2 linked regions of the Caenorhabditis elegans genome follow. The protein of the gene in region 2 purifies or fractionates together with the protein of the main gene of each other region. This does not show direct contact. Each region holds a gene or a part of one and is shown on either strand. Other genes may lie near its edges.

What was found. Proteins that work in one complex are often made in the same cells at the same time.
Region 1: the proteins of sax-7 (region 2) and dma-1 purify together in Caenorhabditis elegans (affinity purification with western blotting; 2 studies listed by BioGRID). This does not show direct contact.

What each region holds. Positions count from the first base shown.
Region 1 is NC_003279.8:8,280,073-8,285,018, reverse strand, and holds dma-1 (LRRCT domain-containing protein), read right to left. Parts: upstream 3,051-4,946; 5' UTR 2,954-3,050; coding exon 2,750-2,953; intron 2,674-2,749; coding exon 1,842-2,673; intron 1,690-1,841; coding exon 1,505-1,689; intron 1,408-1,504; coding exon 1,279-1,407; intron 1,230-1,278; coding exon 1,122-1,229; intron 1,075-1,121; coding exon 721-1,074; 3' UTR 542-720; downstream 1-541.
Region 2 is NC_003282.8:8,060,927-8,065,674, reverse strand, and holds the start of sax-7 (Neuroglian), read right to left. Parts: upstream 3,017-4,748; 5' UTR 2,944-3,016; coding exon 2,895-2,943; intron 2,575-2,894; coding exon 2,397-2,574; intron 2,061-2,396; coding exon 1,984-2,060; intron 1,646-1,983; coding exon 1,353-1,645; intron 1-1,352.

The DNA of each region.
Region 1 (4,946 bases), on a different chromosome or scaffold from region 2:
GCGACGAACACCGATCCGTCATTTTTCATAGTTATGTCTTGTTCTTCGTGGTCATCTATCCAACTTAATTGGCATTGGCTTACTCCAATTGTTTTGGGTGTCACTTGGGAATCTAACGGATGAGACGACGTGTCATAACAGATTGTGCAATCTACATCCACGAATTCGCGCGCGTGTGCACATACATACGCACATCAATTTATTATTCGAATGGCTCATAAACTCATAAATTAACGAGTCCCTGTCGAACAACCAATTTTCAATTCATAAACGTCAAAATTTTGTGGCTACGGAGATTTTCCCGCGGAGTTTTTTTAAACGAAAAAGTCAACTCTCCTTCTCGAAACCTTCTCAATTATGCATTTGTCTTGGTGTGCATTTGACAAATGAGTTGACCCCCACAGAGAACCAGGGCGTAAAGACAACAGCCTCGCCGATTTATTACTTCTTTGCCGACGGATTTACGGCCGAGAAGAGGTGTCTTACCTCTTGAAAACTACTATTATGCTGCTGATTAAGGCTCCTGTCTATTTCATTGAACTTGGTATATCTACGAGCAGTTTATTTTATTTACAGACAAAGGGTTAAACAATTGAACACCGTATCGAAAAAGGGGGCAAAAATACATGAAAATGGGGCTGGGAGATCGAACGACTAGATGGATGCAAATAATCACACGGATTTAGATTTTTGAAACATTTGAAACTCTCAAAAGGATATTTAAATGCCAAAATAGGATGATCCAGGTTTTGGAGGTGCTGGTGGAATCAATGGAGGAGTGGCTTTAAATGTTTCAGTACTAACCAAGAATGGATCAAATGGTGGTGATAATGGACCATGTGTATCATTTGTACTCGAAGAGCAACTATGTGTGTTTGCCATCGTGAGTGGAGTTCGAGAGTGTTCTCGTGTCACATATGATCCTTTGTACTGTCGCTCACGAAGGAAATAGATGCATCCAAGAATCATAAGAAGTAGTGCGGCAAAAAGGAGAACTCCTGCGAGAAGTATGAGCATTTCACTTGTTTGCGTTAATCCATACCGTGCACCAAACAAAACGGCACAGTCGTTTACCTGAAGTTTTTAAATAGTGAAATTAATAACGTGAATGTGAATCTTACGTCGGTAATTGCCAGAACTGAATGACCTTCCACAAGCGATGGTGTCGCGCATCGGACATTATCGTAGTTGAGAATGTGTCTCATCGCATAACGATCTCGCATATGAACCTGAAAAGATGTTCGAATTAATTCAGAAATAAGAGAGGAAAAGACTCACTTGAAGTCCTTGAATAGCACATGAACAATCCCAAGGATTTCCATCTACGTACACTTGTTCAACATTATTTAGGAATGCCAAATCTGTATGCGAGAAGGTGTGGAATCGGTTGGCTGTGATGTCGAAAGTCTAAAGAAATCTCAGTGAGCAGGTTTCAAATGACATGCGTGTCCCCATATAAGGGGGTCCACAAACGCTTCGAATTTCGTATAGAAAATGGACATACTTTCACATTTGGAAGCAAAGTGTTGATATTGTCAGGCAAATAAGTCAATTCATTTCCGGAAATGTTCAATGAAATCAGGTGGTAATAGCGAGACGGCAGCTGTACCGGGATGAATTTGATGTGGTTGTAGGCCAGTTCGAGATGAATCAACGACTTCAATGTATAGGTCCATGACTCCTCGAAATCTAAAATTACAAATTAATTATGCCATCTCTAGTAACTTTGAAAAACCGTTCTTCAAATTTAAAAATCGGAAAAACTTTTAAATTAAAAACAATCTAAAAAGTTTTAAAAATCTAGTTTTGGGGTTATTTTAACTTTTGCTACAAAAACTCACTTTTCAAGAAATTTCCTGACAATGCAATCGAAGTCAGCTCTTCTTGTGCCCATCCCAACCATTTTGAGTCAAAATCATTCATATGATTGAATGACAAATCCAGATGACGTAATGGCATCGTTCGGAACGCATCCTCGTTAAACGGAGAGTCTTTCGAAATTCCGAGCAAATTGTGGGAAAGATCCAATTTTGAGATATTCGTATTGCAAAATGCACAGGCTGTGATTTCTTGAATGGAATTGTGAGACAAGTCGAGAACAGAAAGTTGAGGAAGAGATCTCAGTTCTTTAGTTGGAACCATTTTGAGATTATTTCCTCCGATTCCAAGTTGACGGAGTTGAGGAATACGATCAAGAGCCAGAGAATAAATTGATGAAAGATTGCAATGATTCAAATATAATTCATCCAATTGGGAAACATCTGTGAATAACTCATTGATGTGTTCAATTGGAATAGGATTCCGGTCTAGTCGTAGAACTCGAAGAGAATTGAGACCTCGAAGTAAATTTGTAGAAAGATCACTGATAGTATTATTGGATAGAGACAATGATCGCAGGGCTCTAAGATATGTGAATACTCCAGTTGGAAGAATATTCAAATGATTCGATGATAAATCCAATACTCGAAGTTTTGGCATACCACCAAAGTTGCTCATTGTCGCATGCTCAATATTGTTTGAGTGTAGATCTAATACTTCCAAAGATGGCAGTCGAATGGATCGGGACATTGCTGGAATCTGACAATTGATGAGACGAAGAACTCGAAGCTGTGCAAAACGGTTTATGTTGTCATTCCATCGAAGTTTGTTAGAACCAATGCGATTTGAGGGCGGCTAAAACAATTTATGTAAATGAAGGGATTAGATTGACGGACGGACGTTGTGGTTTTAGATCTTATCGTTTACTAACCTGAATATGAAGTGATCGAAGAGTCAACGGAAGTTGGTTTAGAATTTCCGCGTAAATCGTATCGTTTATGATTGCCTTTCGACAATAAACACTCCAAGACGAGTCATTTTGATCGCATTCACAAAGATTCGGACATGATGATGGTAGTGCAATAGAGCATAATACCAAAAAACTTAAAAATAAAAGCAAAATGTATGAAATCATTGTTCCAATTCGGAACAAAGAATCCTTGACTTCTCCAGAAGACAAACAACACAGCAGCTAGAAGCAGCAAACGTGAGGCAAAACACCATGAGAAGGCGAAGGGGACGGGCGGATAAAGGGGCGGGGCTTAAGGCGAAGGAGGGTCAACAGAGACACCACCCATGGGAAGAAGAAGAAGAAGGATGACCGGATAGAAGAGGAAGAAGCAATGTGTGCCTGACAGCACCACCTAATGTTGTTTTCATGTACCAGAGGGTGGCAATTATCACACCACTAAAAGAAAATCTATTCCCGCTTCAGGCGTTTTTGGCGTCGGGTGGTGGATGCTTGAGTTTTCTTGGAAGCAAGAGGGTGTTTGACTGAATATAATAGTTCTAAAAAATTTCAGAACCATCTCCAAGGACGAAGTTGAGCTTATCTATGTGAAGATCTATGTAATATCATTATCATCTGAGCTCAAGCAAAACTTTGCTCCTAAAATCTCAACGTCATGCTAAGGTTTCTGATGGAGATTGCATTCACGAACTTATCATATATTCATGAGGTTCTGTTAAATTGTGCAGCTCCACTCGCCCCCGTTCTCGATTGCACCCGGCTGTTCCCTAGATTTCTTCAATTTTCCCTTCAAAGTGATTTTACGAAAGCTCCAAATTATAGAGAATGCTCTAAAGTGATTCAAACGGGCATTGAAAAAAAACAAACGTCTTCCTGTAATAGTGGTCAAGGATGCCAGATGTGAAAGGGTGGGCATCACCAAATGTCAGCAGGCAGGCGCTTTTCGTTTACGACTTGCCCTTTTATTGGTGTACCCGTGTGTGTGTGTGTGGTAATAAAAGGTGATGGTGACTCTTTTCTCTGGATAGTGTTCATATTGACTATGGTGCGAAGATAATTGAGCAGAAGATGACGACGACAAGTGGTGGGAGAAGACAAGCATCGGAATTGTCGACGACATATGGTTCAAATTTGGTGGTAATTCATCCGTCATATCGAGTACCACAGAATACACTTGGCATCGAATAAAGGATCCTGTGGACAAATAATGAGCTGTTTTTTATCCGGTCAACCGAGGGGAATACTGTAAATTCAATTAGAGGAATACGGTACTTTACAGTAAATATCCATACCGTGTCATAAAAGCTTTACGAAGTATTTTCATGAAAAACGTTCTTATAAAATTATGCTTAATTTCGCATACTGATTCTTATCCGACGATTCGGTAAATCATAAAGACCAATGACTAATGCAAGAGACCTCTCAAACTGTATGTCAACACCCAATCAATCTCATTGCAAGATATTCCCGTCAGCATCCAAAACCCAAAGAAAGTGTCAAATTGCTCCTTCCAACACATTTTCGCTTATAAACTCATTAATCAAAATGTTCAATTTCCGTTTGAGATTGAATCTTTTCCGGGTTGTCGGCAAACTTTAACCCAATTCCACCGCATTCGTTGTCTTTCGCTCTTCCAAGCCCGCTCATCACAGACAGACCAATTAAGATGGTGTGAATCTCGGTGAGCACCCGCGTTCGGTTATCCTCGTGTGGAGTGACGAACACCACGGCTGTCACTATCGGAAGTGTGTGTTTGGGGTAATTTATCCACACACCGATTGACATGTCACACAAGCTCTCGCACTCTTTTCATTTATCACACCTGAAGAAAGTGTTGGCGTATGTGTGTGAGGATTTGCGCATTGTGTTGCGGTGCCCTTCAAATGTTTGATGTATCATTTTGTATGCACGAACTCTCTGGAGGACGTGTCCATGGAACTGACACTCATTTTCGACAAGTTTTCTATTCTACGATGAAAATATTTTACGAGCGTATTGGGAGTGGAACTCCCGCCGGGAAAATAGGAATATACATATATACTCGGCAATTCCCGGCAGCTTCTTCCCCAAGTTTGGGCCTTTTCAGCTTCTTACCCAACTCTTGCCAACTTCTAGCCCAGTGTATGCCCAAGTCTTACCCAACTTCAACAATTCTAGT
Region 2 (4,748 bases):
AAGACTAATATAAAAACTATTTTTAAAAGCATACAAAAACAACTGCTTTTTGATTCGCTAAAAAAGTAAGCTTTTTCATCATTTAAAACAAAAAAATGGAGACAATTGAAAGGTCTCGTCAAAAAATTTCAATCAAATTAAGACGACAAAACCACCACTTAACAGCAGCTAATCTGTTTTTTCTTCGTTTCTCTCATTCCCGTTCTCTCCTCTCCAAATAGGTTCACACCAGTATCATCATCTTCGTTCATATTATGTGAGGCCACTTTTCACAATGTGTGAATGGAGGATAAAGCTCAAAGGGTTACTTCTTAGGAGCAGCTAATGTCTTTCTATCCACTTCAAAATATTCTCATTTCAACTGGTTAAACTTCAGAAGGTCATTTCTCATCCTTCAACCTCCGGGGGTATGTCTAACTAATTGCGATGGAGACGTAATAACAACGGAAAAAATGTTGCAAACTACTGAATTACGCAACGGAAAAATGGTGGCGGAAAGGTACAAATAGAAGTGGACAGGTGTTGTTGTAACGCAAAAAAAAACTTATTCATCTGATGGAGACGTCGGGAAAAGGGTCTGTATTATAGGGGTTACAATAGAATTTGGACATAGAATATAATAATAGTGAGAAGGGCGATGTATATTGGTATGATGTATGAATAGAAGGCAAGAATCGACAGAAGGACCTAATTGTTAGTACGTACACTAGAAACAGATACCAACTTAACAACAGGAAATTTTAGCATAAAAATGCCAAATGTAAAAATATAATTTGATTGCATATTTGTCGGATAAATTATCAATTCGTCGAAATAAGTGTTTAAAGCTGACCATCATATGCTATATTTTCAAACGTACTTTTCGTGAGAACGAAACAAAAATGCTTTAGATGTTGTCAAAAAAAATCAATTTGGCTTGGGAAAATGGGAAAGTAGTTTTCGAATTGGCTTTAAAAACGAGAATCGTCGAAATCATCCACGAGTTACAATTTCAAAATATAGAATCGAAACACTTTAAAAACTTCTGTTTGATTTGATTTTAATTGAAAAAAAATACATGGAAATTGAAGTTTTCTTTAGTATTTGAAGATTGGAACGAGCAGCAAATTTGAAACTTAATCGCAGAGATTATTCGTCTAGTTATTTTTTTTTCGAAAAATTGAATACGATACAGCCAGAAGCACTGAATAGTTTTTTCTTCAATCTTTCTCCAAAAATCGTTCAATTCTATGAAAATTGTTTGATTTTGGTTTACAAAGAACAGGGAGTGAATGAGAAAAGTTTTCTTGGCACAATGAGGTTACGAGAAACGATCTGTAAAAAGAATGAAAAAAAAAACTGTTATCACTCACTTGTTCATTGCTAGAAATATGACTACTACTGATAGTTTCGAAATGTCCCGGTTCTTTTCCCATAAGAATCCAATAAACTCTTGCGTATGGATTACTAGCAGGTGGAGAACAATTTCTTTGGTACGGATCTCCAACTTCGACAACTACAACTTCTGGTTCCGCAGTTTTGAAATGACGAATCCATGTTTCTTGTACACGGACAGGACGATCAACAGCTGTTCCATTCGAATTTTCAGCTTCACATTGATATAATCCGGCATCAGATTCATCAAGACGGGAGAACACAAGGCTTCCTGGAAAATGTCATATTTATTTCAGAACAGGTTTTCTGAAAAACCGAACTTTTTTTTAATGAGAAATCAATATTTCTCGGTTTTTAGGCCTAACCGAAAATTTCGATTTTTTTTGGATTTGAGGAAAAACTGTTTTCCTGTTTTTCCTGCATGTGGGAGTTTTATAATTGCACAAAAATAAAACAAATTTGTTTATATTTAAATGAAGTGAACTTTTTTCAAATCAGAATAATAATTTGAAACAAACATTTAACTATTCAGTTACTCCATCTTTTTAATTTCAAAAATGTTCCATATTCTCTCAATTTTAGATTTTTACAACAACAAAAAATATTCACCTTCTCCTGGTTTCTGAACAACTTTCTCCGGAAACATGGACGGCAGGAACGTCTTACCATCCTTTTTCCAACGATATCTGTAATAAAGAAAATAGTATAAAAAACATATTTTGAACACTTTTTAATTCTGGAAGTTGAAAAATAAAAATGCAAATGGAAACTGTTCGTAGAGCATAATGTTGAATTTTCAAATTTTTTAATGCTCCACCAAAACTGCCAAAAGGATTTTAAAGCAATTTTAGAAGCAGTAAAAAGACTTCGAATTTTTTTTCAAATTTAGATAGAAACTACCGTATCTTTCCCAATTAGTATTGCATGCAAGTCTAATTTTCAATAAAAATTATTTTAAGATATTTGAAGATTCATTTTTTTTTCTAAATTTTACTTTTTCAGAAACATTACAAAAAACTTACGAAGGCCTTGGATTTCCATTTGCATAGCAATGAATCGTTTGTTCGAGCAGATTACCGGGCGTATTTTTCGCCGATTCATCACTCATTCCACTTTTTTCGACTTTAAAGTAAACGGTATCTGCATTCTTATCGTGAACAAATTGTGGAGGAGTTTCGATCGCTGACCAATCTATGCTGCCTGAAACAGTTTTTATTAGAAATGTTGCTACATATATATGGATATTTGACAATTGTTTCTGTTATAGAAATATTTGTTTTTTGTTCATAAATTTGAGCACATCAAATGCTTTTCAGCGTTTTTCTCAATATTATTTATTTACAATTTTTTTCTATAAAAAGGCTTTGAATATCTTGATTCCATATTTATTTTCATTTTTGCCATTAAAAAACAACAAAAAAGGGCGTAAAATGATGTTGCAATCAAATATGTCAACATGAATCGCCAATCAAACAATTTTCGAAGCGATATGATGTCCTCGACGTCAAAAGAATTCTCACCTGATGATATGTGGCCAGTGAGTAACAAGAGGAATATGAAGCTCCTCATGATGGTGGTCTTTCGACGTGATCTAGAATCGCGTCGAACTTCGTTCGATACTCTTTTTCTATCCTGAAATTGGAATAAAGCTTGCGAAGAATTTTGAGAGAAGTTCGGAGAAAAAACAACGAGAAATGAAAAAAAAGGAAACGTTAAGAATTAAACAAACATGAATTAGTTTGAAAAAATAGAATCTTCCCTCAATTTTCAAGAAAATAATTGTACTACTACTTGTGCAAATGAAACTATTCTCGTACAAAATCTGATTCATCTTTAAAATTTCGAAAATTGGGATTACATTAAAACCGGAAAATAAACGAAAGACTTTAAAATCAGAAGAATGAAATAAAGAACTTCTTATTTTGTCTAGGTTTCTCCTTTTCCCGATTATGCAAATGAAAAAAAGCGAGAATTCATGGGAATCTACCCCGCTGACCGAAAAGTGACCATGAGGAAGCACGTTGGATTAACGATGAGAATAAGAAATTAAATCTGTTGTTTGATTCATTACGAAAATAAAATTAAGAGAAAAAAGTTTCGAAAATTATCAACAAAAAAAGTTATTTTTAAAAAAGTACAGACAAAAACATAAGGTGGAAAAAATGGAATGCAAGATGAGAAAAGAAGGGCATGAGGAGAAGTCAACGGGGGTGATAGATGTATTCGTTGACAGTCCACACACACACACACACACACACACACAGAACCGACGCAATCTGCGCATGGCGGTAGCCGATGGCATTGTACTTTACCGGTTGTCTCGTTTTTTTTTGCAATCAGAACGAGAGCTGCTCCATTCTTCAGAAGCGGCCGTTCTTCAAGGACGTTTTCAGGAAAGAAAAGGAAAAAAGAAAAATGCGTTCGCGTCACGCTACTCGATTTTTGTTGCTCAAAATGTTCTACGCACGAGATGTCACCTATGAGACGTATGGATGCGTGGGTAAAAGAATAACAAGACTTCAAAGATTCTGGGCCACAAATCATTTACGACAGAAAATAGGTGATTTTTATCCGAAAAAAGCTAAATTTTCAACACAGCGCGTCTGAAACATTCAAAACGGGAACATGATCAGGTTTTTAACGGAAAATGTGATTTAAACGTTATTTCGAATCGAAAACGACTTTCAGATGTTTTAATTTACTTTTAGACTAATAAATTTTGTAGTTTTACAAGTAAAAACACTAGAAAAACAGAGAAAATTCAGAGTTTTCGTTAAAAATCGTTTTGGCGGCGAAACAAAACAAATGCAAGTACTGTAGCAAAGGCGCGCAACAGAGCGCACATGCTCGGGTCTCGAAACGATTGCAAAATTTCTGGTCTACCTTTCGATCAAGCCTAGTTTCTCTATTGAATTATTCGTTTTTTCTTTGGATAACGCGATTTAAAAATTTTTTTTAAAAAAATTATTTCTAAAATAAAAAAATACAATTCAGTTTCATCGACTTGGAGACATGAAATTTTTGATGCGAAAAAAAAACCTGTGACACCACAGACTATATACTTCCGGAGCATTGTGCTAAGTCGATCGGACAGATTTCTCGAAATCCTTTCGTCCGCATTACTCTCTATATGTCACGGAAGAAGGTCGTAAAATGAGTGTGTCTCTGAGCCAAAAGAGGTCTGGTTATTTCTCCAAATTCATAAAATTTGGATTTGGCAGTTCACTCTCTTTTCCTCATTATTCATAACACATCAATCTTGCTTTCATGAACACCGCCACGATGAGCAGATCAAGCAGAACATAGAGAGTAGCTTCAACAGCAGTGAACATCAAAAAGAATGAATTATTAAATAAAGTTGCTATAGAGAAATG